Linked DNA regions of Sus scrofa. The protein of the gene in region 4 purifies or fractionates together with the protein of the main gene of each other region. This does not show direct contact. Links are inferred from orthologs where the notes say so. Each region holds a gene or a part of one and is shown on either strand. Other genes may lie near its edges. The genes, in order: CHEK1, AURKA, HCK, CDC37, AKT1, SRC and serine/threonine-protein phosphatase 5.

Evidence for each region.
Region 1: the proteins of CDC37 (region 4) and CHEK1 purify together in Homo sapiens (affinity purification with mass spectrometry; 3 studies listed by BioGRID and IntAct, with this or other methods). This does not show direct contact. The link is inferred for Sus scrofa from reciprocal best matches to the Homo sapiens genes CDC37 and CHEK1.
Region 2: the proteins of CDC37 (region 4) and AURKA purify together in Homo sapiens (affinity purification with mass spectrometry; 3 studies listed by BioGRID and IntAct, with this or other methods). This does not show direct contact. The link is inferred for Sus scrofa from reciprocal best matches to the Homo sapiens genes CDC37 and AURKA.
Region 3: the proteins of CDC37 (region 4) and HCK purify together in Homo sapiens (affinity purification with mass spectrometry; 3 studies listed by BioGRID and IntAct, with this or other methods). This does not show direct contact. The link is inferred for Sus scrofa from reciprocal best matches to the Homo sapiens genes CDC37 and HCK.
Region 5: the proteins of CDC37 (region 4) and AKT1 purify together in Homo sapiens (affinity purification with western blotting; 5 studies listed by BioGRID and IntAct, with this or other methods). This does not show direct contact. The link is inferred for Sus scrofa from reciprocal best matches to the Homo sapiens genes CDC37 and AKT1.
Region 6: the proteins of CDC37 (region 4) and SRC purify together in Homo sapiens (affinity purification with mass spectrometry; 3 studies listed by BioGRID and IntAct, with this or other methods). This does not show direct contact. The link is inferred for Sus scrofa from reciprocal best matches to the Homo sapiens genes CDC37 and SRC.
Region 7: the proteins of CDC37 (region 4) and serine/threonine-protein phosphatase 5 purify together in Homo sapiens (affinity purification with mass spectrometry; 4 studies listed by BioGRID and IntAct, with this or other methods). This does not show direct contact. The link is inferred for Sus scrofa from reciprocal best matches to the Homo sapiens genes CDC37 and PPP5C.

The regions. Positions count from the first base shown.
Region 1 is NC_010451.4:52,776,092-52,780,041, reverse strand, and holds part of CHEK1 (serine/threonine-protein kinase Chk1), read right to left. Parts: intron 2,594-3,950; coding exon 2,485-2,593; intron 1,600-2,484; coding exon 1,422-1,599; intron 1,127-1,421; coding exon 995-1,126; intron 1-994. UniProt on the Homo sapiens protein: Serine/threonine-protein kinase which is required for checkpoint-mediated cell cycle arrest and activation of DNA repair in response to the presence of DNA damage or unreplicated DNA.
Region 2 is NC_010459.5:56,962,308-56,966,257, reverse strand, and holds part of AURKA (aurora kinase A), read left to right. Parts: intron 1-746; coding exon 747-1,026; intron 1,027-3,337; coding exon 3,338-3,392; intron 3,393-3,950. UniProt on the Homo sapiens protein: Mitotic serine/threonine kinase that contributes to the regulation of cell cycle progression.
Region 3 is NC_010459.5:35,707,018-35,711,451, forward strand, and holds the start of HCK (tyrosine-protein kinase HCK), read left to right. Parts: upstream 1-1,555; 5' UTR 1,556-1,627; intron 1,628-2,268; exon of another isoform or gene 2,269-2,841; intron 2,842-4,434. UniProt on the Homo sapiens protein: Non-receptor tyrosine-protein kinase found in hematopoietic cells that transmits signals from cell surface receptors and plays an important role in the regulation of innate immune responses, including neutrophil, monocyte, macrophage and mast cell functions, phagocytosis, cell survival and proliferation, cell adhesion and migration.
Region 4 is NC_010444.4:69,206,177-69,210,126, reverse strand, and holds part of CDC37 (hsp90 co-chaperone Cdc37), read left to right. Parts: intron 1-3,009; coding exon 3,010-3,291; intron 3,292-3,452; coding exon of another isoform or gene 3,453-3,626; coding exon 3,627-3,735; intron 3,736-3,854; coding exon 3,855-3,950. UniProt on the Homo sapiens protein: Co-chaperone that binds to numerous kinases and promotes their interaction with the Hsp90 complex, resulting in stabilization and promotion of their activity. Inhibits HSP90AA1 ATPase activity.
Region 5 is NW_018084979.1:3,045,427-3,049,376, forward strand, and holds part of AKT1 (RAC-alpha serine/threonine-protein kinase), read right to left. Parts: intron 2,609-3,950; coding exon 2,480-2,608; intron 542-2,479; coding exon 430-541; intron 251-429; coding exon 103-250; intron 1-102. UniProt on the Homo sapiens protein: AKT1 is one of 3 closely related serine/threonine-protein kinases (AKT1, AKT2 and AKT3) called the AKT kinase, and which regulate many processes including metabolism, proliferation, cell survival, growth and angiogenesis.
Region 6 is NC_010459.5:40,515,727-40,519,676, forward strand, and holds part of SRC (proto-oncogene tyrosine-protein kinase Src), read left to right. Parts: intron 1-348; coding exon 349-504; intron 505-3,116; coding exon 3,117-3,296; intron 3,297-3,950. UniProt on the Homo sapiens protein: Non-receptor protein tyrosine kinase which is activated following engagement of many different classes of cellular receptors including immune response receptors, integrins and other adhesion receptors, receptor protein tyrosine kinases, G protein-coupled receptors as well as cytokine receptors.
Region 7 is NC_010448.4:52,371,784-52,376,332, forward strand, and holds the start of serine/threonine-protein phosphatase 5, read left to right. Parts: upstream 1-1,483; 5' UTR 1,484-4,549. Other genes in the region: HIF3A (hypoxia-inducible factor 3-alpha), read left to right, coding at 1,178-1,483. UniProt on the Homo sapiens protein: Serine/threonine-protein phosphatase that dephosphorylates a myriad of proteins involved in different signaling pathways including the kinases CSNK1E, ASK1/MAP3K5, PRKDC and RAF1, the nuclear receptors NR3C1, PPARG, ESR1 and ESR2, SMAD proteins and TAU/MAPT.

The DNA.
Region 1 (3,950 bases), on a different chromosome or scaffold from region 4:
CTTCCATATGTCTTGGGAGCGGCCCTGAAAAGCAAAAAAATAATAAATAAATAAAATAAAATAAAACCCATATTCAGGAGTTCTCTCATGGCTCAGAGGGTTAAGGGTCCAGCATTGTCACTGCAGCTGCTCAGGTCGCTACTGTGTGTGCATTCGATCCTTGGCCTGGGAACTTCCACATGCCTCAGGTTCAGCCAAAAAAAAAAATTCCTCCTATTCCAATTTCCTCAACTGTTGCAATAACATCCTTTGTAGCTTTTTGCCTTTAAACCCATGATCTAGTGAAAGATGATGTATTGAATTATTAATCAGGTCTCTTGAGTCTCCTTTAATACAAGATACTCCTCTCTGTTTTTCATGATACTAAGATTTTTGAAGTTTAGAGACAGATTAGAATGACAATGTTATAAATATACTATAGTATTTAAACAAGAAAAATTGGGAGGAAGGACAGGGAGTCCATTGTTAACTGTTACAATTTAAGCACATTACATAGTTTTTAAGAAAATAACAACAAGCATCATAATATTTTTAATAACCTTACAGAAATCTTTTAAGAAACACTTTTTCTTAAGGTAAAGATCTTAAATTCCTTCCATTTCAATTGTTTCTTTTACAGATTAAACCAATTATTTTATATTTTTATTTATTTATTTGGCCTTTCAGGGCCGCACTTGCAACATATGGAGGTTCCCAGCCTGGGGTTGAATCGGAGCTGTGGCTGCCAGCCTATACCACAGCCGCAGCAATGCCAGATCCGAACCTCATCTTCGACCTATACCACAGCTCACGGCAACGCCAGATCCTTAACCCACTGAGTGAGGCCAGGGATCGAACCCAAAACCTCATGGTTCCTAGTCAGATTTGTTAACCACTGAGCCACAACGGGAACTCCTACTTTATATTTTTAAAATACACTGATAATGATAGCCTTTTACACAAATATATAAATTTTTCTTCAGGAAAAATTATAATGAAAACCAATGAAACATACCTGATTCATACAACTTTTCTTCCATTGATAGCCCAATTTCTCACAGGTCTCTTTTAGGCACTGATAAGATTTGTCTGCATCCAGTTTGGTAAAAAATCGTGTCATTCTTTTGACCAGGCGCTGCCAGGGGTTCTACATGTCAATAAAGGAAAGCTGAATAAATCAGATTTATCACCAAAAGCAGTCATATTATAGCTACTTGGTCTGAAAATTCTTTTCTCCAATGTAAGATTCTTATATATATGTCTCCCCTAATTCTCTTCCACTTGTCAAAAATAAATAAATAAACTTTATCATGTTAATACTATATTTCTTAGATTTATACATTACAAAAAAAAAAAAAAAAGAGAGAGTGACTTTAAGACAAAAAAAAAAAAAAAAAATCAAAGGGCTGCCGTTACTTATTTGAAAAACTAAATTCCCTTACCTGTGAGGATCCTGGGGTGCCGAGTAACTGACTATTCAGGAGCATATGATCAGGGCATGTGGGCTGGGAAAAACTGATCCCTTGTACCAGTTTATCAATGTATGAAGGGCTAGTGTCCCATAACGAAAGACCTGTCCGTGGTTCTGGCTGAGAACTGGAGTACTTCACATTTTCTTCACTGGCATTAAGATATGGAGAAAAATATATTTAAATAAAATTCATCAGGCCTTTCATATATCACTTTACCATTCCACTCTCACAGATAAAAATTATATTCATCTTTTTTTTTTTATTTTATTTTACGGCCACACCAGTGGCTTATGGAAGTTCCTGGGCCAGGGAATGAATCTGAATTATAGCTGCAACCTACACCACAGCTGTGGCAACAACACATTCTTTTTTTGTATGTGTGTTTTTGCCATTTCCTGGGCTGCTCCCGAGGCACATGGAGGTTCCCAGGCTAGGGGTCAAATCGGAGCTGTAGCCGCCGGCCTACGCCAGAGCCACAGCAACGCAGGATCTGAGCTGCGTCTGCAACCTACACCACAGCTCACGGCAATGCCGGATTCTTAACCCACTGAGCAAGGCCAGGGATCAAACCCGCAACCTCATGGTTCCTAGTCGGATTTGTTAACCACTGAGCCACGAGGGGAACTCCGCAACAACACATTCTATTTTTTTTTTTTGTCTTTTTAGCTATTTCTTGGGCCGCTCCTGGGGCATATGGAGGTTCCCAGGCTAGGGGTTGAATCGGAGCTGTAGCCACCGGCCTACGCCAGAGCCACAGCAACGCAGGATCCGAGCCGTGTCTGCAACCTACACCACAGCTCACGGCAACGCCAGGTCCTTAACCCACTGAGCAAGGGCAGGGACTGAACCCGCAACCTCATGGTTCCTAGTCGGATTCGTTAACCACTGCGCCACGACAAGAACTCCCGCAACAACACATTCTTAACCCACTGTGCAACAGTGGGAACTTCTCATCTTAATAACATATTCATGTATTATGTTTCATGTGAACTATTACATGGAACTACTCTTGATCTTTTATAATCAGTCTTACCTAGAAGCACTATTGACTGGAGAGAAGTCCAAATTGGATTGAATATGCTTAGAGAATCCACTAGGAGACTCTGATACACCACCTGAAGTGACTCGGGGCCTCTTTGCCCCTAAAAGAGAAAATATATATACAAATGCTTTCAAGTTTTCTAGGCAGTTTTTGTTGTTTTTTTGTTTTTTTTTTTTTTGTCTTTTTAGGGCCGCACCCATGGCATGTGAAGGTTCCCAGGCTAGGGGTCGAATTAGAGCTGTAGCTGCCAGCCTATACCACAGCCACAGCAATGCCAGATCCAAGCCGCGTCTGTGACCTACACCACAGCTCATGACAACGCCAGATCCTTAACCCACTGAATGAGGCCAGGGATTGAACCTGCAACCTCATGGTTCCTAATCTGATTTGTTTCCGCTGCGCCACGGTGGGAACTCTGGCAGACTTTTTTTTTTTTTTGTCTTTTTGCCATTTCTTGGGCCGCTCCCACAGCATATGGAGGTTCCCAGGCTAGGTGTCGAATTGGAGCTGTAGCCACCAGCCTATGCCAGAGCTACAGCAACTCAGGATCCAAGCTATATCTGCAACCTACACCACAGCTCACAGCAATGCTGAATCCTTAACCCACTGAGCAAGGCCAGGATCAAACCTGCAGCCTCATGGTTTCTAACCAACAACTGAGCCATGAAGGGAACTCCCCGGGAGATATTTTTTAAACCCAGCTGGCAACTTGAAGAAGTGAAACCACATCTAAATTCATTTATTTAACACAAAATACTTATGCAACAAATAGTGGCTCTTCCTACATGATTTTAGGAGAAATGTGGTCATAATGAATTTACTGGGACTCACCTGCCAAATTGTACAAACTACACATTTAATAAATCCTGACCTGTAAGTATGTTCCAAGTGTAGGGTATCGTATTAAGGCCATAATTTTAATGGTACCATTTATGGTAACAGAACAATGTTCTATTAAGACCAAGAGACCCAGCTAAGGGATCGAAACTTTTTAAAATATAAAAAATAATTTGTGGTAGTGACAATGAACATTATAAATCTGCTCTAACATTCTTTGATCCTCTGGAAAAGCTTTACCAAGAATAGCCACTGTACAGACTATATCACCACTATAAATTCATGGCTGCAACCCTCAGCTGGATCCTCACTCTGACAGTCAGTCCTGTTTCTGTAATCAGTTTCCTCTCCCTTTACCCACAATGATATTTTCAAAACTTCTACACTCCTATCAAATTACCAAGACCACCCTCCAGTATCTCACTACTTAGCATATGATACCACCTTTCATTTCACAAGGAAACTAAAGCCAGTGGAAGCTCCCTCAACTTGCCACTACCAAACCTGCTAACTTACTTGCATTCCAACCCATCCTCTTCTCCCTTCCATTCTCCCATCAACTGTTCATTCCTCCACTTGTATTTGAGCCCATACCCTCCTGCCTCTCAGGGATTTTGACA
Region 2 (3,950 bases), on a different chromosome or scaffold from region 4:
CTACCTATGCCACAGGTTGTGGCAATGCTGGATCCTTAACCCGATAGTGAAGCCAGGGATTGAATCACTCCTCATGGATACTAATTGGCTTCTTAACCCATTGAGCCACAACGGGAACTCCTGGAATTGGGATTTTTGGTATAAAATTTCTGAATTGCAGCTTCTTGCTAAATGATAATTCCCAAGTCATTGAGAATTCCCAGGAAGTGTTTAATATGCCTCCCTTTTTATTTTTACTTATTTATTTGTGTTTGTCTTTTTAGGGCCACAGCTGTGGCATATGGAGATTCCCAGGCTAGGGGTCAAATCAGAGCTGTAGCTGCTGGCCTACGCCACAGCCACACCAGATCCGAGCTGCGTCTGTGACCTACACCACAGCTCATGGCAATGCCGGATCCTTAACCCACGGAGTGTGGCCAGACAGGGATCGAACCTGCATCCTCATAGGTACTAGTCAGGTTCATTACCCTTGAGCCACGACGGGAACTCCCCTCCTCCCTTTTTAGATGAAAGCTTAGTGAGCATTCCCGTGGTTTTAGTGGGAGTTGGGCGGGTAGGAGGTGGAGGTGCACTTGGGTGTCTGCAGCAGACTCTCAGTGTCACCTGGGAGTGGTGATTAAAACCGCTGTCCCTTTCTGTCCCTCATCAGTGAGTGACATTGGTTATTACTAGGAGCAGACTTTGGGTTGTTGTCAAAATAGCTTTTGTTGGTGAAGGCCCTGAAGTTCATTTCCCCCCCATCCTAGACCACAGTTCCACCTGGCGATGGTCCAAAACGGGTTCCAGTGACCCAGCACTTTCCAGCTCAGCATCTGCCGTCTGCAAACAGCGGCCAGGCCCAGCGGGTCTTATGTCCTTCGAATTCCTCACAGCGCCTGCCTTCGCACACGCAGAAGCTCGTCTCCAGCCATAAACCAGTTCAGAATCTGAAGCAGAAGCAGTCGCAGGCAACCAGTGGCCCTCGTCCTGTCTCCAGGCCTCTGAGTAACACCCAGCAGAGTGAGCAGCCCCAGCCGGCAGCGCCTGGTGAGCAGCGTCTGAGCCTCCCTGGATAGCCCTTCTTCTGAGTTTCTGAAGAAGCACGTGTACAGGCGTGTGTTGATGGTGTAACCGTAGCGTTTCCATCCTTTCTGTTTGGATGGGGAGAAGATCTGATGTCCGGGGGGAGGTAGCAAGGTCTTCTGGGGGCCAGCCTGAGTCCCACCCTCGAGGGAGAGTTGGACAGCCAGGGAGGGCATGGTGCCAATCCGCTGATGGTATGGGGCGGGGGGTCGGGGCGCAGGTGCACTTGGAACTGAAATTCAAAGGTTTGCAGTGTGGGGGAAGTGGCGGGGGATGGGGTTTAGTGGATGGACTGACGCAGGCCAGGCAAAGTCGTGGTGAGCACTGCTGGCCGTGGAGTGGGGCTTCCTGCCTATGCATTGGGAAGCCGCTGAAAGGGTTTTGAGCGGAGGAGGGGCTGACTTGCCTTTCGTAGAAAGCTTATCAGGATGTGTGGAATGATTTGGAAAGTAGCGATGCTGGACTCGGGGGTCCGAGGAGGGAAGGAGGCCATTGTGGTTTGGGTCAGACATGACTGTGGCCTGAACCAGGTGCAAGAGGGTGGGTGTCAGCAGCAACTGTTCCCAGCTCACACACAGCAGGCTTCCTTCATCCATGCTGTGTCAGTCTGTCCTTGGAACCACTCTGTGGAGGCAGCCATAGGTGTGTGTGTGTCGTTTGTTTTAGGGCCACTCCTGCGGCATATGGAAGTTCCTGGGCTCCGGGTTGAATTGGAGCCGCAGCTGCTGGCCTACACCACAGCCACAGCAACACTAGATCCAAGTCACATCTCTGGGCTACGCTACAGCTTGGGGCAATGCCAGATCCCTAACCCACTGAGTGAGGCTAGCGATGGAACCTGCATCCTCACAGACACTGTGTTGGGTTCTTAACACGCTGCAAGGGAGAACGACAACATTGAGCTACAAGAGGAACTCTGAGGTAGCCATAGTTTTTAACTCAGTTTCGCAGGGGAGGAAGCTAAGACTTGGGAGCATCAACTTATTCAAAGACGTAGCCGGGCCGGAGAGGTGCAGGTGAATTTGAGAGCTCACTTAGGATGCAGTCTTGACAGAACTGGGCAATAAACCGGACACGAGGTGGTGGTTACACCGATGGCCTTAACTGAGATCATGAACCAAGGAGGGGAAGGTCCGGCGTAGGCCTGAATTCAGATATCTGAGCAGCGCAAACTGCTGCTGTTTGAGTTTGAAGTGCTGGAGATAGATGAGTAGAAAGGGCCCATGTAATTTCCCCTTGGCAGCTGGTACAGTGGAGGGAGGCTGGTGGTTGGCTTATGTTTTGTTGCACATTGAAGGTAGCAGATGGACAGTGGGCTGGCCAACCTGCTGGGGAAAAGTTGGGAGCCTGTTATGGATATGCAGATGGGTAATTCTGCTTTAGAAGCTCTTCATTTAGAAACTAAGGCTTCAGGGAGAAGCTATGTTGTCTGGAGTCTGAGTGATCTGAGGGCCTAACTGTATGTATTTGCTCATCTTTACTCGCAAGAGTTCTGTAAAGACTTTGGCAGAAGTCAGGTTAGGGTGTGGTAGTCTTTTTTTGTTTTGTTTTAAGAAAACTGAAAATGATCTGGATCTATCATTCTGGGAACACCACCAATATTTTTTGGTGACTTTTTTTCTTTTCGGCTATGCCTACAGCATGCGGAAGTTCCAGGGCCAGGGAGAGTTCCTGTCGTGGCTCAGTGGTGTACGAACCCGACTAGTATCCATGAGGATTAGGGTTTGATCCCTCACTCAGTGGGTTAAGGATCCATCGTTGCCGTGGGCTATAGTGTAGGCCGGTAGTTACAGCTCCAATTTGACCCCAGCCTGGGAACCTCCATATGCCATGGGTGTGGCACCAAAAAGACAAAAGACAAAAAAAAGAAGTTCTGGGCCAGGGATCAAACCTGCACCATGGCAGTGTCAACACTGAGTCCTTAACCACTAGGCCACCAGGGAACTCCCTGGTGACCATTCTTTGATTCATCTCTTTTCAAACATTTTGTTTTGCCTTTTTTTTTTTTTTTTTTCCCCCTTTCTTTCTTGGCTGCACCCACAGCACATGGAAGTTCCCAGGCCAGAGAGTGACTGAGCTGCAGCTGTGACCTATACCGCAGCTGTGGCAATGCCGGATCCTTAACCCACTGCACTGAGCCGAGGATCAAACCAGTAATACCACATAAACAAGCCAGATCACTAACCAAGTGTGCCACAGTGGGAATTCCTCAAAGCTTTTTAATTTATTCTGTATAGTTATTCCAAAAACAGATTTTTTAACTTATTCTATCTAGGAAACAATCCTGAAAAGGAAGCGGCATCAAAACAGAAAAATGAAGAATCAAAAAAGTAAGTTTTATTTTATTTACAAAGTTCTGTACTATCCTTCTGCTAGAAAGTACTATGTAATTGCAAATTTAGTTATGGGATCATTTTTTAAAAGAAATAGTTCCTTTTATTCTCACTTACAAAATATAGATGTTTCAGATTTCTGATCTTTAAAACAGAGAAGGAATTTTAATGACAGATTTCACTAGGGACTTGAGTTTTTCTTATTTTTCAAAATTGGGAAAAGCTTGTATCAATCTGTTACAGAAAGGTAGTAAAAGTTGCTCTCCACTCTTAGAAGTAACTACAGCGTGTGGTTTATGTATGCTTCTATACTTCTTTGCTAGTCAAGAAGTGCAGGTTTGTTTGAAATGGCAATAAAGTGTCCTGTTGCAGAACTGTAGAGACATACATGACTGTGTGAGTATTTTGAAGGTGTTAATAGAATTATTGCACTTGGTCTTCATGATAGAGCTTGGCTGTATTTTCCTCTGCTCTCAATGTCTGAACTGTCTAGACTCTGGAATGTCGTAGGAGCCAGGAATGAACCCACAGCCTTCTTTGCTCTCGATGCCTAAT
Region 3 (4,434 bases), on a different chromosome or scaffold from region 4:
TTTGCTCCCCAATGGGATTGAGCTCTAGGAGCCCACGGTTGGAGCTTGATGATACTCTCTTAACTGGCTTCCTTCTCTTGCCCTGTCTCAATCATTTACGTCCTTACTAGTGATTTTTGTATCTTCCAAATAATCAACATTCACTTGAATCCATGTCTAAGGTCTGCTTCTTGGGAATTCAAATTAAGACCAGTAGATGGTGTCAAGGGTCAATCAAGATATGGGGAAGTGACCACTGTGGCTCAGTGGAAACAATCTGACTAGTATCCATGAGGACGCAGGTTCCATCCCTGGCCTTGCTCAGTGGGATAAAGATCCGGCGTTGCCATAAACTGTGGTGTAGATCCCAGACAGCGACTCAGATTCTGAGTTGCTGTGGCTGTGGCGTAGGCTGGCAGCTGCAGCTCTGATTGGACACCTAGCCTGGGAACCACCATATGTGGTGGGTGCAGCCCTAAAAAGCAGGGGAAAAAAAAAAAAAGATATGGGGAAGTGGTGGGAGAGGAATCCAGGCAGCAGCCATTACGTAAGCATTCTTGGTCAAGCAATTCTTTATGAAATTCTCACATGGGTTCATAAGGAGACACGTATGAGGCGGTCCATTGCAGCTGTGTTTATGGTACTGTGAAGTAGTGTGCCGTCTGGGCATCCATGACTAGGGGAATGGATACATAGACTATGGAGGATGTAGACAACTACCTTTGGCAGCATAGCTAGATAGTAACAGTATCGAGTGATAGAGTGGGGAAAAAAGGCAAAACTGAATACCTACCACCCAAGTAAATCAAGCACACAATCAAAACATTATCTGCTTTTTAAAAGTGCAGGCATGTATTTAGGTACACACACCAAACACATAAGAACAGGGTTATTATCTTTCTCATTCAAGTTTCTGTTCTCCCTTCCCACCCCTCCTCAGATATTTGGTTATGTCTGGATACATTTTTAGCTGTCACGAATGGGGAAGAGGGTTTGCTACTAACATCTAGTGGATGAAATTCAGGAATTCTTTTCAATATCCTACTATGCACAGGACAGCCCCCAAGACAAAGAATTTCAGGACCTAAAGGTCACCAGTGCCATGGTTGAGAAGCCCTGTGTAGCCCAGAGCCCAGCACAGTATTGCTGAATGAATGAATGAGAGATGAAGGTGGCCTGAACTGGCTAGGAGCAGTGGGACTACAGAGACGCAGTAGGATTCTGGAGGTGTGTTCAGCAGAATTTTGGGTGAGAATCCTTCTCTTTCCAGGTGGAGATATGCTGTGCCCTTGCCTGGCGCTGGGCACATCTCTTTCATGTGCGGCCTCCACTTGCCGTCACTCAGTTTTGGAACTCCTCTGAGCTACCCGGAAACCGACAAGGAGTGAGCTAGGCTGGTTCCTGCGGGCAGGGCACTTTGCATGGATTTGAATAGCGAGGGGCCTGCAGAGCGGAAACCGCAGACCACAGAAGGGATGGGAAGGCTTAGGACCCGGCCTGGGGGAGGGGCCTGGGCTAGAAGGAGGGGTTTGGAATGGTGGGGAAACAGGTCGAAATGCTTGGAGGAGGGGGAGTGGATTTAGAATCCTGTACGAATGACGACAGTGGGGTGAAGATCCTCCGGAATCGGTTTAGAATCCTTTAATAGGTGGGATCAGAAATCCTGGAGGTCAGGAATGGAATCTTTGAATGGGTCGATGAGAATCTGGAAGGGGGGGGTCGGGCGTTTAAAGGGTATTAAAATCCTGTGAGGGAGTTCCTGATGTAGCCCAGCGGGTTAAGAACCGATTAGTATCATGACGATAGGGGTTCGATCTCTGGCCTCGCTCTGTGGATTAAGGATCCAGCATTACGGTCAGCTGTGGTATAGGTCGCAGACGAGGCTCGGATCCCGAGTTGCTTTGGCTGTGGCGTAGGTCGACAGCTGTAGCTCCGATTTGACCCCTAGCCTGGGAACTTCCATGTGCCGCGGGGTGCGGCCCTAAAAAGAAAAAAAAAAAAAAAAAATCCTGTGGGAACAGGTTAGGATCACCTAAGAGAGAGATTAGAATCTTTAGGATTAGGGTCATAAATCTTGAGGCCTGGGTTAGAATCTTTTTTAGAAGCCTTTGGTTGGCCGGGATTAAAATCCTGGGGGCAGAACTAGAAACCTCCCGTAGGCGAGGTTAAAATTCCTTCCGCTGTGAGAATCAAAATCCTTCAGGGCAGAATTAAGACCTTGGGAGGAGATGGGGTGTTGGGGTTCTGGGGAGGGCGGGGTTTAGAATCCTTTGGGACGGGGTTAGGGCTTTGGGAGATGGAATTCGAATACATTAGAGAAGGCATTAGGTTATCTGGGGGTTATGACCTTTGAGAGACCGGTTAAAATTCTTGGAGGCGGGGTTATCCTTCTGGAAGGAGGTTAGGATTCTTGGGGACAGGGTTAGAAGTTTTGGATGGGCGGGGTTTAAAAATAATTTCCTACTTGGTGGGATTAGGATTTTGGGGAGGTGGGGACGGAGATTAGAATAACCCGGGTCGGGTTAGAATCTTCGGGGGCGGGTTTAGGATACTCGGGGGCGGGGTTAGCACCACTCCGGGCGCGGCTAAAGCGCCCAGATGGTCTGTGGGCGCCAAGGCGTCCCAGGTCCTAGCCCGGGCGCAACTCTGGGCGATTGGGAGGGACGCAGACAGCTCAGCCAAGAGGGGCCCCCAAAAAACAACGCACCGAAACACCTCGGAGCGCAGCCCCAGCCTCTTCTCCAAAGTCACTCTCTCTTCCCTGCGGCACCGGCGCCCGGGCACCCCGGGATCTGCCGAGCTGGGGGGTCGCTCCAGTTGCGAGGACCCGGGCTGCCCACCGGAGGAGGAACGGGCGCCCAGGTGAGTTTCTCGGACCCAGGATCGGGCGACATCAGCTCGTCACCTTGGCCTGACGGTCTTCGGGCTGCGGAGGGAGCCCAGGGTGGAGAGCGGGGAAGGTTGGGCTGCAGCTGGAAGGGACCGTCGGGGAAGCGGATGACAGGTGGCCGGATGGGGGGACCGAACCCTCCGGGAGGATGCCCAGATAAATAGCAGAACTGCCTGGCTGAGAACCTGGGAAGGCTCGAGAGTGACTTTAAGCCTGAGCCGCCACTTCTCTGGGCGGTCCAGCTTCCCTTTCTGCAAAAGGAAAAAAAAAAAAAAAAAAAAAAAAAAGTCTTCACAGAGCCCGGGGAGGGGAAGACCCTTACGATTCCTGGTTGGGGTGGATGATGGTCACAGTCACGGCGGGTTGGCAGCCATAGTGGGGAAGGGGACAGCTGGCCGTAGGCGTGACGTGTGAGCCACACCCAGGCAAGGCTGCAGCTGGGTCTGCTCGCTGAGCTTGCTCCTCCTCCCACGCTGGGCCCTGATCCCCAGCAGTCTAGGTTAAACCCCAAAATCCCCTGGACAGACCACAGGATGCCTGGCCCCTCCCTTTCCTCCTTGTGAGACCTTGGACAAGTCACCCTCCCTTTCTAAATTCCCTTTCCTCATCTGTCAAGGAGCACTATCAATTCTTCCTTCCAAGGCTGCAGTAAGCTAGAGTGTGTTAGAGATCACTATTGTGGCAGTTTAGTGTAATAGTTAAGGAAGAGGTTTCTGGGAGCAATCTGCCTGTTGAACCTTGGGCAGGGGATCTGGTCTTTCTGTGCCTCCGTTTCCACAACTGTAAGATGGGGATAATTAAAATAATGGTTGTGTCATAGGGTTGTTTTGAAGGTTAGACTGAGTTATTGAAGGAAAGCTCTTAAAGCACTGCCTGACAGGTCGACGGCTTAATTGGTATTCACTACTATCACAGCTTTTAAGGATTAACCAAGTGGTTCTCGAACTTTATCTGTGCATCAGTAGCACCTGGAAGGCTTCTTACAACCCAGGTTTCTGGGCCTTGACCCCAGAGTTTGTGATGGAGTAGGTCTGGCACTGGAGCCCAAGAATTTGCATTCCCAGGTGATACTGATGCTGCTGGTCCAGGAACCACACTTTGAGAACCACTTTGGACGGCACAGACAAGGGCCTCAATAGATAGCAGTTCTCAAGAGTTCCCTGGTGAGTCAGTGGGTTGAGGATCTGGTGTTGTCACTGCTGTGGCTCAGGTTTGATCCCTGGCCTGGGAACTTCCACATGCTGAGGGCAAGGTCAAAAAAAAAAAAAAAAAAAAAAAAAGTCATTTAACATACAGCCCTCTGTCTCAAAAAACTATAACTGTGCCTTGACTGCTGACTGGGTCCCAGAGTTTTCTGAGATGCTCTTCCTGGGTTTAAATCCTCAAATTTGGCTCAAATAAAATTTTCCATTAGGAGTTCTCGTCGTGGTGCAGTGGTTAACGAATCCGACTAGGAACCATGAGGTTGCGGGTTCCATCCCTGCCCTTGCTCAGTGGGTTAACGATCCAGCATTGCCATGAGCTGTGGTGTAGGTTGCAGACGCGGCTCGGATCCCGCGTTGCTG
Region 4 (3,950 bases):
GCCCCTTCTCACTGCTGGGGCTTCTGCCCTGCCCAGCTGGGTACAGCCCCTCCTAGAGCTGTAAAGCCCATGCCAGGCAGGCTGCCACCCTCACCGCTCCAGGAGTCCTTTATTTAGCTTGGGCCTCCTGGCAGCTGCTCAGAGGATGCCGAGATTTCGATGGCTACCCAGCAGAAACCAGCAGCGTGGTACGTTCCTGCTGTCACCTGAGGCCAACCATAGAGAGCCCCTCATATTGTAGCGGGAAGGCTCCAGGGCGACGCAGGCCCATCATGGAGCAAGAGAGGTGACAGAAGATGCAAGGCATTCCCTGCAAAGCAAGGGCTTTCTCCCATCTTCATCCACATGGGAAAAGCGAGGCTTGTGATTGGCTGGGTTGTTCCTGTGGAGCAATAGAGAAGGGCTCAGGTCTCCCAACTCTCACCCAGCATGGGCCCGGCCCTGTGCTAGGACCTAGAGATCCAACCTCGAATAAAGTACAGAAGCAAGTTAGCAGACCATCCTTGTGGCCTTGGCCGTGACAATGGTGTTAACAGTGGGACGTGTATACTGAGTGCTGTGTTGCAAGTGGTTTCCTTGAAGTAACTCTTTTAGTCCTCGCAACAACTCTGTGAGGCCCCATTTTTTTGGAGGGGGGACACCAAGGCAGGGAGAGGTGTAAGCAGCTTGGCCAAGGTCACAAGCCAGTAAGTGCCAGTATGATGCAGCAGCAACCACTCCCAGTGACCCGCATTTACTCTGGGCTAAGCACTTTGAAGTACATTTTCTTATTTGAGCCCCTGTGTAGTCCCCAGAAAGAGATTGTCTGCCCGGACAGGCAGTAATGACATTAGTCAGCATGGAAATGCTGCTCACCAAGCACAGCTCTGGACTGTCTTCTTTATAACCCATTTTGTTTCTCCCGGTGCAACCCTGTGAGATTGGCACTGTTGTCTGCCTCTGACAGATGAGGAACTGAGGTTCAAGAATTGGCCCTGGGAACCCTTGGCCATTACATGGTGGCTCTGGGATATGACCCCAGGTCTAGGGCCTGAAGGACATCCACCAGTATCTCCTCACCTCATCTGATGATCACAGAGGGGCCGTTGGGGCTGAGTGGTTGAGTGGTTCTAGCAGGGGTGGGCTCCCTTTTTTTTGGGGGGGGGTCTTTTTAGGACTGCACCCGAGGCATATGGAAGTTTCCAGGCTCAGGGGTGAATTGGAGCTGCAGCCACAACAATGTCAGATCTGAGCCACATTTTTGACCTACACCACAGCTCATGGCAACACCGGATCCATTAACCCACTGAGCGAGGCCAGGGATCAAAACTGTGTCCTCATGGATACCACTAAGCCACAATGGGAACTCCGGGCGGTGGGGGGCTCTTGGGGAAGACTCTGATGAAGCTGAGACTTGGGGACAAGCAGATGGTGTAAGGGGAAGAGGGTTCCAGGTGGGAGGAATAGCATGTGCAGAGGCTAACAGGTATGAGAGGGCAGGTCCATCCAGGGAACCACAAGGGCCAGCCTTAGCCTGGGCCCTAACCTTCCAAGGAGGCTTGGTGCCCTCTGGACAGCTTGGGGGCAGGGGATCTGGGGTCCCATCTGAACCCAGATCCTCCAGATGGAGGTGTCAGGGAGGGCTGTGGGCAGGTGCACATGCGTTTCAAAGGCTTTGGCAGTGTCTCAGCCTGGAAAGCGGGGGGATGGGGGGAGGACGATGATCAAAGATGGTGGTGCCTTTCAGGGCTCAGTAGAGCAGACAGTGCTGGGAGCTGGGGAAGGTGATGGGGTGGGAAATGGGGAGGCCCAGTGATCTGATAGAGTTCTGGATAGGGGACCAAGGAGATGGGATGCTATCATTGAGCTTGGGGTGCAGAGGAGGAGGAGATCTGGGAAGCAGCATCTAGGATGAGGTGGGGACAGGAGGCTGGTGGGCACCATGCTGGGCGTGCTGGCCTGGAGACAGGCGAGTGGGCCTCTGCAGATCCACGTGTAACACCAGATGGAGCAAAGTGGAGAAACACCTGGAAATGAACACTGTCAAGATTTGGAGGCAGTTAGGGAGGGACAGGGCTAATGGCAGGCCTCAGCTGGGTGCAGGAGGTGGTGGCGATCTTCACTGAGGGAAGACACAGCAAAAAAGCAAGTTTGGGGAGCTCAGGTGGGGAATTCAGTTTGGGGCACAGAGTTGGAGGTGACTGTGGGAAGCCCGGCAGGCGGGGGAGGGTGGTGGAGTGTTACCGAGGGCAGCTCCAGGGAGGAGGGGAAGCCCGAGACCCTGAGGGGGTGGCCATGCCTCCAGCCAGCATCTCAATACTTTATTACATCCAGCATGCCTTCCCTGGATCCCTCCTATGCACCAGCCCCAGTTCCTGGCTCCGGAGACAACAGTGAACAGGTCCCCAAGCCAGTATCTTTGGAGGAGGACAGTGCTTAAGACATGATAAATAATTGTCACGGGACATTGTTGGGTCACGAGTGCTGAGGAGGAAGATCAAGCAGAGCAGAATAGGGGAGGTTGTGACCTTCAGTAGGGGGGTCAAGGAAAGCATCATCTGTTGAAGTCCTTTGAAGATGATAAGGATGCAAAGGGGTTGGCGGGGGTGGTCTGGGGAGAGAGCCTTCCAGGCCAAGGGAACAAAGAGCAAGTGCAAAGGCCCTGAGGTTTGAAGTGGGTTCATGAAGGTAACCCTAACCCTAACCCAGTGTAGGGTGAGCAGGAGGAGATGAGGGCATGGAGGTGACAGGACAAATCGTGCACAGCCTTGTGGACTGTGGGAAGAACTTGGGCTTGTGCTCAGCATGAAGTGGGAGCCATAGAGGGTTCTGAGCAGAGAAAGGACCTGCCCTGGCTCAGGTGTACCTCTAGGGGCGAGAGCGGAAGTTGGGAGTCCAGTGTAGGGAGGGTGGTGAGGCCACACTGTGGGGCCATTCCCAGGTGCCACTGCCGGGAGCCTGAGGCTGGGATGGGGCAGGGGTCAAGGGACAAGCCGTTCCCTAGAGCGATGGGCCATCCCCCTCCTGTAGGCCCGGGTGGAGCGCATGGAGCAGTTCCAGAAAGAGAAGGAGGAGCTGGACCGGGGCTGCCGCGAGTGCAAGCGCAAAGTGGCCGAGTGTCAGCGGAAGCTGAAGGAGCTGGAGGTAGCTGAGGGCGAGGGCGGCGAGGCCGAGCTGGAACGGCTCCAGGCCGAGGCACAGCAGCTGCTCAAGGAGGAGAGGAGCTGGGAGCAGAAGCTGGAGGAGATGCGCAAGAAGGAGAAGAGCATGCCCTGGAACGTGGACACACTGAGCAAGGATGGCTTCAGCAAGGTGTGTGTGGGGAGAGAGAGAGGGGTGTGTGGGAAGCTTTGCTTGGGGTGGGGGAGGTCCAGGAACAGAGGCCAGGTGCTGGGGTCAGTGGGGGAGGAGGAGATGGGGGGCTGGGTAGGTGAGGCACCCCACTGGTACCCCTCCCTCTGATCTGCCCCAAGGCCCTAGTCCGAGGCCACACCTGCCACGCCCACGCTCCCACCACATTGAGGTTCACGACGCTGTCACCACCTCCACCCTGGACGGGATGGGCGATGCGGCCGAGGCCCACCCGGCCACGTTCGAGGCGCTCCATGGCCTCGCTCCAGCCCACTCCCCTTCTCGCCCCACCACAGAGCATGGTCAATACCAAGCCTGAGCAGGCGGAGGAGGAGTCGGAGGAGGTGAGGGAGCAGAAACACAAAACCTTCGTGGAAAAGTATGAGAAACAGATCAAGCACTTTGGTGAGTTGGGCGCAAGGCCTCTCAGGGGGTTGGGGGAGGCCAGGTAGGTGGCGCCTGTGACAAGGGCTGGTCCTCTGCCTCCAGGGCCCTTCCAACACCTTGCCCATACCTTCTCACAGGCATGCTCCGCCGCTGGGACGACAGCCAGAAGTACTTGTCAGACAATGTCCACCTGGTGTGCGAGGAGACCGCCAACTACTTGGTCATCTGGTGCA
Region 5 (3,950 bases), on a different chromosome or scaffold from region 4:
ACCCGGCGCTCTGGGCGGTCGGAACCCGAGGGCCAAGGTTCTCCTGGGCCATCTGTGGGGACCTGTGACCACGGAGCCCTGGGAGCAGGGGCGGGGCCTCACCACGCGGTGTTTGGGCTTAGCCAGGGACACCTCCATCTCCTCGGCCCCGGAGTTCTCGCTGGGCGAGCCCGACCGGAAGTCCATCATCTCTTCCTCCTGCCGCTTGAGCCCGTCGGCCACCGTCTGGATGGCGGTCGTCCACTCCTCCCTGCAGGGCGGTCGGTGAGGCCCCAGCCCCACCCGGCCCGGGCCTCCCCGCCTCGGGAGCCCCAGCCCAGAGCCCCCACGGAGACCCAGGGACACGGCCCGCTGACCCCGCTGACGACGGGGGCCGGCCGGCCCGCGGGGGCTGCGAGGGGCCAGGAGCGGTGGGGAGGGCGCGCCTACCGCTCCTCCGGCGTCTCCACGTGGAACGTTCGCTCGATGACGGTCGTCCACTGCAGGCAGCGGATGATGAAGGTGTTGGGCCGCGGCCGCTCCGTCTTCATCAGCTGGCATTCTGGTGGAGGCAGCGGCCATGTCCATCCGCACCCCCCCTCCCGCCCCCCGCAGCTGGGACCCTGCTCGGAGCTCAGAGGCGCCCGGTGGCGGCGGGGGGGGGCTCTGGGGCGCCTTCCTTCAGTCTCCCAACAACTCCCCGCCCCCTCCGCCGGCCAGGCCACCGCCCTCAGCCCCCCGGAAGGCGAGGCGTTTGGGGCCCTGGGGAGGGGCCCGCAGGGCGGAGGCACCCGCGTGGACAGGAGCTGGCCCCCGTTCTCCCCGGCACACGAGGACAGCGGCCCGGCCGCCCCCCTTCAGGCGCGAGGCCAGTCCCACGCGGAGGCTGGAGGCGACTCACCCTCGAAGAGGCCGCCTGTCCTCCCTGGAGGCCGCCGGGGCTGTCTCCCCCCACCCCTCTGAGGCCCACACCCCGGAGGCACACGCGGCTTAACAGGAGCCGTACTAACAGGAGCGCGGGCACACCTGCAGCCCGGGACCTGGGGGCGCCCCAGGCCTGGAGAGGGGCCGATGCTGGCCCAGCCCGCGCGAGGCGGAGGGGGCCGTGGGGCCCGCGCAGGGGCCTGACATTCCAGCGTCCAGGCCCTGGCAACCGTGAGGGGCCCCAGGCAGGCTCCGCCGAGAGCTCAAGGGAGCGAGGAATGGTCTGCCAGGCCTGGGGGCCGGGAGGGGGGCTGGCGCCCAGCCTTGTGGGCAGGGGACGGAGGAAGCTTTGTGGCCAGCTTTCTGGGTTCCCCTCCCCAACGTGCTCAGCCCACTGGAGCCCACCAGCCGCTCCCAGGACAAGGTGCCTGACACCCACCCCACCCCAGCCCAGGGCCGACTACTCCTCCCCACCAGGAAGAGCCCCTGGTGTAGAGGCCCCACACAGACGCCTCCCCCTCCCGCCAGCTCTGCTCCTGGTTCAAGGCCCCAGCCCCGCCCAGCGCCGAGGAAGCCCCTCTGGCTGGTGCCCCCACCCATGACCCCTGAGAGTCCCCACTCCCCGGCATTTCAGCCTGGGAATCGCTCCCAAGGGGCCTCGTTTGCCCAGTAAGGCAGCACCCCACATAGCCAAACTTCCTTCCTGGGGGGCTCCCATGGGCCCTGAGGCGGCTGGGGCAGGTGTCTGCCTCCGTGACCTCCCCTCACCCAGTCCCTACTCTACCCGCCGCTTTGCTGAGACTTAAGGAGCCGGGTGGGGGCGGGGGAGGGAGCGCTCAGGGCCCAGAGGAATGGGGCCTTAGTAAAGCACCCCCAAAAGGAGCCCCCCAGGCTGGGGCCTCGGAGGGCAGGGCCTCTGCTCCTCCCATTAGGCGCCCTGGAGTGGGGTATGCTGGCTGTGCCCCTGCGCCAGGACGGGCTCCCGTACCAGGACGGCCCCACCTCTGGGGGCCCGGAGGCTGGGAGTCCGTCGGCTTGGGGACAGGCCCCTCTGAAACCCTGGACCAGAACATAGTGGGATGGGGGAGCTGGAGGACCCCGGGCTCCCAGGGCACGTGGCCCAGAGGGCAGAGCCAGCCGCCGGATGGGGACACCTGAGGAGGCGCCTGGGGCAGAGCCAAGGCAGTGCTCTGCCCTTCCGACCACACCCAGAGGCACCCTCTCTGGGCTCACAGCCTGGGCCAGCCCCGGGCAGCGCCCCCCTGTGGGGCTCCAGGCCTGGGTCCCCCCTGCGGGCACAGGACAAGGCCGCAGCAGCCCTGGGTCAGCTCGGCAGGTCTGAGACGCCCGGCCCCGGCTGTGCACGGAGCCCACGCGCCACCACGGGGGTGGGGGGCCGGGGCGTCTGAGACCCTGCGCTGGGGAGTGGGAAGCCGGCCGCCCCCGCCCCCTCCCCCCCCCGCCCCCCGTCCTGCAGCCCCAGGGCCCCAGGGCCGTCGCGGGCAGAGCCCCGCCAGCTCTGCCGCGGCCGGGGGCCGCGGGCCCCGGCCCCGGGCGGCTCGGGGCCCCCACTCACGCGCCACGGAGAAGTTGTTGAGGGGCGACTCGCGCTGCTCCAGGTCCTGCGGCCGCTCCTTGTAGCCGATGAAGGTGCCGTCGTTCTTGAGGAGGAAGTACCGCGGCCGCCACGTCTTGATGTACTCGCCTGCGACACGCGCGCGCCGTGAGGGCCTGTGCCGCCCGCCGCGCCCCGCGCCCCGCCCAGCGCGCCCCAACTCGACGCCCAGACCCTGACGCCTACCAGGGCGAGCAGAGGGGAGGCAGGAGGCAGGGCTCGGCGTGGCAGAGCGCCCACCTCGGATGGGAAGCCCGCCCCCACCTGTGCTGGAAAGGGGGCCTGGGGTCACCTAGACATGGAGGCCAGCCCAGTCCAGAGGGCCTTCCTGGAGGAGGCGGCACCAAGCCAGCAGGTCTCCAGCAACAGGGAAGGCACCAGCGACAGCCACTCCCAGGGGGTTCAGAGCCGAGAGCTCCCCCCACCACCCTGGCTCCCGCAAGGTGGCGGCTGCAACAGTTATGCCCACCAGAATTGCCCCCCCGCTCAAGCCCGGGCGAGAGGACGGAGCCTGGCATCCAGTGGGAGGGGGCGGGCCGCACACTCAGAGTGGGACTCATGGGCTTGCCCGGCAGACACAAGCCACCTGCAGCCCGTCCCCAGGGTGGGCGCCCGGGAACAACGCCACGCACTGTCCAGGGGTCAGAGCAGTCGTGGGCATCCCGCGGAAGCCAGAGCCAGGCTGGGACCTGCCGTCCTGGACCCTGCATCCCGCCCGTGGGTCACCCAGGTCCTCAGCAAAGTTCCCCCCAGTTCTGCAGCATCAGCGGTGAACAGGCGCTCGCGCTTCAGAACCAAGCAGATGTCCTGTGATGTTCCAGCGACTGCCATTTTTCATACTGACACCCAGGAAAAATGTTTCATTTACATTTTGCCAAGCAAGGAGTTTGAACAACAACACTGAACTTCCCAAGTAGGCAGCCGCCTCCGCAGAGGGTCACCGGGCAGCAGCCGGGAAAGCGGACGGGGTCCCTGAGCCCTGGATGCAGGCACCCGGAGGCCCGTCCCAGACCCCTGGCTGCCCCCGGCCCCGCCTGCTCCTGCTCCCACCCGCTGCCCAGCCCCTGCTCTGCATGGGTGCCCCAGAGACAGACAGAGGCTCCAGCCACTGCAGCTGTCCCTGCCCAGGGGGCCCAGGCAGGGGTCACCACCAGGCCTGGACACCACCTACACAGAGGACCCAGGGCCAGCCAGTGACCCGCCCCTACCTCCAGCACATAGAGCGCTGCCTCCACCCAGCTCTGCTGAGCCTCCAAGCCTGTGGGGACACGGGCTGGAAAGGCGGTGGTACAGCCACCTTCAGCTCCTGCCCTGGGCCTGGCACCCCCCCCCCCCAGCCACAGGGCCCATCCAGCCTCCCAACCCCCCTCCCCGCTGGCGCAGGGGGCTGGCGAGCAGAACTGGCTCCAGGGCTGTGCGGCCCACCGCCCGC
Region 6 (3,950 bases), on a different chromosome or scaffold from region 4:
CAGCTCCCTTCTGTCACTCTCATGATCCTGGGAGGGGATTAAGGGAAGTTGGGTGCCACCCTGGACTGTGAGCTCCCTGAGGACAGGGTTCCACTGGACTTGTCCCCCACTGGCTCCCTGGCACCTGCCCAGGTAGCCACCCCTTAAAGTCTGATGAATGAATGAATGCCTCAGGGAGCAGGCGTATGAGGCAGCATGGGCCTGTGTCGGGGAGGGTGTGTACACACAGGTGTGTCCACCTGGTCTGGAGGGCATCATGGATGTCCCCAAAGCCTGTATGCACTGTGGAACCCAAAGGCCCCGGGGCGCTTGCCTGGCCTGAACTTCACCTCCTGCCTCTGTCTTCAGAACACGCAGATGGCCTGTGCCACCGCCTCACCACTGTGTGCCCCACGTCCAAGCCGCAGACTCAGGGCCTGGCCAAGGATGCCTGGGAGATCCCCCGGGAGTCGCTGCGGCTGGAGGTCAAGCTGGGCCAGGGCTGCTTTGGAGAGGTGTGGATGGGTAAGTCCTTGCCCCTGTCCCCGCAGGGGGGGCTTTGAGAACCAGTGTAGTCTCTGCAGCAGCTCAAGACCTCATTAGTTCTCCCAGCCTTCACCTTCATGAGTCTCAGCACCTCTGCTGAACAGTGGGCCCCGTTTTCAATATGGGTGACTGGCAGCAAGCTGGGGTGTAAACTGCCCCCCTCCACAGACCGTGGCACCTGCTTGGGGCGGGGCATCGTGACTCCTCAGTGACTCGCCGTGTAGTCTGGGCCAGGTGGGTGGCTTCACTCTGAACCTCGATCTTCCCAGCTGTAAAATGGGGCTGGTGATAGCAGGACCCACCAGTGGGGCTGAGAGAATGCTGGCCCCGCGTGCGTCTGTATGTTCGCTCTCCGCTGTGGGACAAGAAGCCTCAGTTCACGTGAGGAGCGCTGGGAAGTGCCGGGTTTGGAGTATTCCAGGCCTGGGAACAATCTCCTGTCTAACTCTGGACAAATGGCAAACCCGTCCCTGCAAACACACATCTCGCAGCCCCGACAAAACCCAGACTCTCTTCTGCTGACTGGTTTCTTTTGACACGGTTCAGGGTGAGGGAGGCAGGGTAGTGAGCCTGCGTCCAGCGGAGGGATCGCCTGTGCAGGTCCCAAGGTCGCTCCACCTGAGCCGCAGTATTCGCTTGACATCACTGCCTCCACTTTCCTCCCTTCAGAGGAAGAGGTGGTGGAGGAGAGCAGGGGGTTCCTGGGTGGCAGGCACCGCAGGGGCAAAGGCCTGCCGGCTGGAGGTCCAGCAGAGTCAGGAAACGGGAGGTGTTGGCGGGAGAGGGGCCGGGGTGAAGAAGCCAGCTTCTAGGCACAGACATGTGAGCAAACCCTGAGACATCCACAGCATCAGCTGTTCTGGTGGCTGCAGACCTGCTTCCTGGCTTGGGCATGAGTGAGGCCAGAGGAGGAGGCTCTCGTTCCTCCCTGGATGATCCAGGTTCACTAGTGAATCCCCAGATGGCCTGTGTCTGGAGGGCCACAGACATGGGCTGGGCCCCAATCCACAGATGGAGGCCAGGACAGGAAGGGGTAGGTAGGCTCAAGGCCGCTCAAGGAGCCTCAGGCCTGCCTCGGAGAAAAACTCAGATTAAATGCACTGGTTTAGAACAGCTTCCCCTGAGGCCTCACAATTTAAAAGCCCGGAGTTCCTGCTATGGTGCAATGGGATTGGCAGCGTCTCTACAGCGGCCAGAATGCAGATTCGATCCCTGGCATTGGGTTAAGGAGCCGGTGTTGCTGAGGCTGCAGCTTGGTTCCTTTTTTTAAAGCTTTTTAGGCCAGCACCTGCGGCATATAGAAGGTCCTGAGCTAGGGGTCGAATCGGATCTGCAGCCTCCTGCCTACATCACAGCTGGAGCAATGCGGGATCTGAGCTGCATCTGTGACCTACACCACAGCTCATGACAATGCTGGATCCTTAATGGCAATGCCAGGGCCAGGGATTAAACCTGCATTCTCATGGGCACTACTTGGGTTTGTTTTCACTGAGCCACAGTGGGCACTCCTCGGCTTGGTTATGATCGCTGGCCCGGGAACTCCATATGCTGTGGGGTGGCCAAAAAAGAAAAAAACACTCCCCCCTAAAAAAAACACACCAAATGATAATAATAAAATGGCAGTCGCTGCTGTTATAACTGTGTCCTCACAATGAACTTGGTCTAGTGGTTAAAATATCGTTTAATCCTCACACAGCCCTGCAGGTGGATACTATAGCGTCCCCATGTTCCAGAGGAGAAAATTGAGGCTCAGAGAAGGGAACTGACTTGCCTATAGTCCCACTGCTGGGCAGGAGGCAGAGGTGGGAGCCAAACTTGGTGCAAAGTCTTCCTTTTGGGGGGAGTGTGTCTTGATACCAGCTCTTGCTCTCCTGGCCTTGCCTTGAGACCAGCTCAGCCCCCACCTCAGCCCCACCATTACACATTCCAAATTTGCTAAAGCTTGAGGCACCTTTGATGTGTGACCCAGAGGGAACGTGACCACCCAGGAGAGAGCAATTGAGTTGGAACCATGTCTCCCAACTCTCAGAAGAACGTGCTGCCTTGGGGACGTTTCTCATAATCAGAGTCCTAACCACAGCTACTATTTCTTGAACATGTACCAGAAACTCATTTAATCTTTGGGCAGACCTGTGAAAAGCGTCCTGCCATTATGCCCATTTTGCAGATGGGGAAACTGAGGCTCAGAAAAGGGCTGGGCTGGAGTTCCCACTGTAGCTCAGTGGAAACCACCCTGACTAGGATCCATGAGGATGCAGGTTCGATCCCTGGCCTTGCTCAGTGGGTTAAGGATCCGGCATTGCCGTGAGCTGTGATGTAGGTCACAGACATGGCTTGGATCCTGCATTGCTGTGGCTGTGGCATAGGCTGGCAGCTGCTTCTCCAATTCCATCCCTACCCCGGGATCTTCCATATGCCGTGAGTGTGGCCTTAAAAAAAGAGGCGGGGGGGTGGATGCTGGGCCTTGGCTGGACTTGGCACATGGCTAGGGAGGCCAGAGCTAAACTTGGCATCCAGGAAGGCAGATCCTGGTCCCCTATGAGACGGGCATGGGGGTCTTCCACTGAGACAGCTCCCCCCTTTCCATACAGGGACCTGGAATGGCACCACTAGGGTAGCCATCAAAACCCTGAAGCCTGGCACGATGTCTCCGGAGGCCTTCCTGCAGGAGGCCCAGGTCATGAAGAAACTGAGGCATGAGAAGCTGGTGCAGCTGTACGCGGTGGTGTCGGAGGAGCCCATCTACATCGTCACGGAATACATGAGCAAGGGTGAGGCCCTCGTGGCGGCGCGGAGACGCGGGCAGCCCCTCGCTGGGGTCCTCACCAAAGGGCAGGTGGGACGCGCTTCGGGCAGGTGTAGCGTGTCTGTCTTTAAATGTGGAAGGGAAAGAATCAACTTCCCATGTCAGTGGAAGGTTAAACCAAAGAGTGCCTTTCTTGTTTCGTTTTGTTTTTAAGTGATCTCCCACAATGCACCTGGTATCCCCGCTTTTGCTGGTTTTCTAAAGCTGTGGGCTATTCCAGGCTTGGGAGGAGAACTCCCCCGATCCTCCAAGCTGAGCTACATTTGGGTCAAGTTCCTGGCTTGACCTTTACTTAGTTTTAAATTTAACTTTTTTTTTTTCAAAATTCCACTTTTTGGAGGTATGATTTACATATGATGAAGTACACCCGTTTTAGGCATCCAGTTCAGTGCATTTTAACAATTGGATACACCGTGCCTCTCTTAGAACAATCAAGATCTAGAGCTCCATCACCCCCAGAAAGCACCCTTGTACCCTCCAGAGACAGCACCATCTGGCCTCAAACCCAGACAAGCCACTGATGGGCTTTCTGCTTCACAGATTTGTTTCATAGAGTTTCATATATGTAAATCTTTTACATCCAAGGGTTTTCCTTCTTGCGCTGCGTATCAGTAGTTCG
Region 7 (4,549 bases), on a different chromosome or scaffold from region 4:
AGACAAGCTGCTGTTTCTGCTTGTGTTGCTTCCACCATCTCCCACCCAAAACCTCCAGGCATCAGGAGGTTTTCTTTTTTTCTTTTTTGTCTTTTTAGGGCCACACCTGTGGCATATGGAGGTTCCCAGGCTAGGGGTCCAATGGGAGCTACAGCTGCTGGTCTACACCACAGCCACAGCAATGCCAGATTGGAGCCATGTCTGCAACCTACACCATAGCTCCCAGCAATACTGGATCCTTACTTAACCCACTGAGCAAGGCCAGGGATCGAACCCACAACCTCATGGTTCCTAGTCGGATTCGTTAACCATTGAGCCATGATGGGAACTCCAATGTCGTTATTCGTTTATCGTCAGTCATGCAGGGCAGGGGTCCTCCACTGTGTGTGCGAGGCTGGGCAGTGGCTGGGCAGAGAGAGCCGACATTTATTTAGTGCTCACTTTGTGCCAAGCTTTGTGCTAAATCTGTTATGTAAGTGATCCAATCGATTCCCCTCACTGGAATGCCAGCCCCGTGAAGGCAGCAAGTTTCCTCTGTCCTGTTCACTGCTGTGTCCCCCGTGCTTGGCACACACCAGGTATTCAGTAAGTTTTTGTAGGGGGGGCTGTGCCCACAGCATTTGGAAGTTCCCAGGCCAGGGATCAAACCTGAGCCTCAGCGGTGAGAACACCAGATCCTTAAGCCATTAGGCCACCAGGGAACTCCCTCCCCTCAATAACTATTTTTTGAATGAGTGATTCTCATGAAGGAGGTGGGTCTAAGTATCCCTGTTTTCCAGATAACAAGAGCTCACTGAGCGCTGTTCACAGCGCTTTACATGGATTCACTCAATTACCCTCCTAACAGCCCTGGGAGGGAGGTTCTGCTCTTAGCCCACTTTGCAGACGGACGAGGTTAGGTGAGGCACGGAGAGGTAACGTCACCTGCCCCCGGGGCATACAGCAAGTGAACAGTAGAGCCTGGATTCAAACTCAGGCAGCAACTGGCTCTGGGCTTCCTGACTCCTGCCTTAAACATCCTGGACACCTGAGGCTGAGGGAGACCGTGCCCAGGATTTCACTCCTGGTTGAATCCAGGCATGCCAGCCTCGCCAGCCATACTCTTAACTGTTTGGAAGGGAGGCCGGGTTAGGGTGCATGACTCCTGTGAATCGCTTATCTTCCGTCTCCCCCACAGGCCTGGGCCCCTCCCTGCTCTCCCTCTCCCGGGATGAGGACGCCGCCCAGTCCAGGAGCCACTTCCAGCCAGCGGCAGACTTGGCCCAGGCCCACTGAGCCCAGCCCTCTTCCCACCTCCCTCCCGCCCCCCGCAGAGAGGACGCCAATCATACTCCAAGCCGGCAGCCAACGCACAGGGTGGGGGTGCCGGGAGAGGGGTTCCCTCTCCTCTCAGGGGCCCCCACCCGCCTTGGGCCTACCTCAGCCCCCACCCCTCCGTACCCCCTACTGTCTGGGGCGCTCTGGAGTGGTCTCAGCTCAGTGACCTCTGGGAGGGGGTTCCTGGCCCCCTCCTGCTTCTCTCAGGACTTCCCTTGGGGTTCTCAATACCGGTTACCTCATCCCTTTCTCCAGCTCTCTCGGCTTTGCTTTCAGTAATCAGGGGTTGGGGAGGGTGGGGTTCAGAGCTGTATTTGCAGGCTTGGGGGAGTGTGGATAACCATCACCAGGTTTCTTTCCATCTTTCTTTCATTCTTATTTTGATTTTTGTTGTTTTCATTATGTTTTTAATCGCTGCAAATTACCTGCGGTTCATAATAATGTGGAACTCTCATCTTCCCCCCCGCCCCCGGCCCCAACTCAGGTGTCAATGGGGAGCGGGGGCCCTCTGGGTCAGATCTCACACCTCAAGATAGATTTCTGATCAAGCCCTTAGCTTCCCAAGTGGCCCCTCAGCTCTGCCCACTCCTCCCCCCTGGACTTCTGCTGGCCCCTCCCTGGCGTAGACACCAGCTCCATTGGTGGGCTTCCACTGGGGGGGGGGCCTCCACTGGCTACACCTAGGACACTTAGCTGGAGCCCCCAACCTCTGCTTCCAGACCTTAAACAGCAACACTCTATGGTTCTAGACCACACAACCCCCAGTGTGGTCTGCTTCAGGCCTTGCAGCCTCCAAAAGCTCTGATTCCAGATCTAACAGTCTTCATTTCTTTCTCGTTTTAGAATGCGCAACCTCCGAAATCGATTTTCCTGTTGCACAGTCTCTAAGGTTGTCTGGTTCTAGGCCTCACAGCCTCCAACTCCCACAGGCCCATGACCATCAGCGTCCTCTGGCTCTAGAGCTCTCCCCATAAAGATCGCTTGTTCTCGATGGTACATACCCCAACTCCTGCTGATTCTGGCTCTTACGGCCAATGATTTCCTTTGATTCTGGACCCTGCAACCCTAAGCTTTGAATTGCTTCTAGTCTTCCTGATCTGTAATGCATTTGATTGGTTCCAAATCCAGGCTTCCGAATGTCTAAATCATTTTGATTCTAAACCTCAAGATGCCCAGCTCAATTCTTTTTTTTTTTTTTTTTAATTTTTATTTTTTATTTATTTTCCCACTGTACAGCAAAGGGGTCAGGTTATCCTTAGATGTATACATTGCAATTACAGTTTTTTCCCCCACCCTTTCTTCTGTTGCAACATGAGTATCTAGACATAGTTCTCAATGCTATTCAGCAGGATCTCCTTGTAAATCTATTCTAGGTTGTATCTGATAAGCCCAAGCTCCCGATCCCTCCCACTCCCTCCCCCTCCCATCAGGCAACCACAAGTCTCTTCTCCAAGTCCATGATTTTCTTTTCTGAGGAGATGTTCATTTGTGCTGGATATTAGATTCCAGTTATAAGTGATATCATATGGTATTTGTCTTTGTCTTTCTGGCTCATTTCACTCAGTATGAGATTCTCTAGTTCCATCCATGTTGCTGCAAATGGCATTATGTCATCCTTTTTTATGGCTGAGTAGTATTCCATTGTGTCCAGCTCAATTCTTTTTCAATGCTACATGCAAGACTTGCTTTTCTCATCAAAAAGAAGCAAAATGGGTTTCCCGTCTTGATCTTATACCAAGTACCTTCAGAACCACACTTTTTTTTTTTTTTTTTTGTCTTTTTGCTATTTCTTGGGCCGCTCCCGTGGCATATGGAGGTTCCCAGGCTAGGGGTCGAATCGGAGCTGTAGCCACCGGCCTACGCCAGAGCCACAGCAACGCGGGATCCGAGCCGCGTCTGCAACCTACACCACAGCTCACGGCAACGCGGGATCGTTAACCCACTGAGCAAGGGCAGGGGCCGAACCCGCAACCTCATGGTTCCTAGTCGGATTCGTTAACCACTGCGCCACAACGGGAACTCCAGAACCACACTTTTTAGTTCATTTTTGCTCTAGACTTTAGGATCTCTACTATCTACTGGGTCTGGACTATATAACCTTTACACCTTACAGTTTCCAGGGCCCTCTGATTGCGGATCTGATGATCTCTCTTTTCTCTGGTTTTAGAAATTGGCTTCGAATGTCTTCTGATTCCACACCTCATCCTATACCTGCCTGGATTCTAGACAATCTCCAATTCCCCCTCATTCCACATCTTATGGCTCCAAATCACCCTGCATCTAGAACTTGGCCTTCACACATCTTCAGATTAGAGACCTTGCCCTATAAAATTTTCTGGTTCTAGGCCTACTGCTCTAAACTCCTGATTCTAGAGCTTATGACCCCAAATTCCTTTTGGTTCCAGAACTTGGTCTTAAATTCAGTTCTTACTCTAGAAATTCCTCTGGTTCTAGGCCTCACAGCTTCCAAGTGCCTCTGATCTCAGATCCAAATTCTTCTGATTCTAGAAATCAGCCTCCAAATGCTTCTGATTTGAGAGTCTGGACCTCTCCCTGTAGACTCCTCTGGTTCTGAATCTTAAGACCTCTGACTCAGATTCTGGGCTTCCCACCCGACTCCACTTGCTCCAATTCCTACTCTTAAGTCTTCCTATTCCAGATCCCCCCCTCCAGGTCCTTGTGCTAGTGGACTTCATGCTCAAGCCTCTTCATTCTCAAGCTCCTATCCCTAAAATTTCTCCGTCCTAGAACTCCCTCCATCCCCCACCTCTCAGCCAGCCAGATGTGCACGTACCTTTACTTATCCGGGGAACCTGGGGCTCCCTCACAACCCGCAGACTTCCCCAGCCGCGCAGGCACACGCACAGCCCTTCTGCATATCATGGGGTGGGTGAGAAGACAGGTCTCCTCAGTACTCCGCCACCACTTATGTGTCCCTGCCCCACCCTTCTTTCTACGATGGTGCTACTCTTACCCTTGAAGAGGCCTCCCTCTCTCAACCCAATTCACCCCCTTTTTGGAAGGCACTTCTCACTCTTTTGTCCAGGGATGGCCTGTCCCGATTGGTGCTATGGGGAGAGAAGGGCCTGACCCCTCCCTCCCTCTGGGGGTGACCTGGGCCCTCAATGGAGGGAATTGTGCTGGGCTGGGGGAGGGAAAGGGACTGAACCAACAATGCTGGCTCTGAAACCCACTAATCTTTAAACTCCTATAAAGAGCTCTCCTTGGTAGG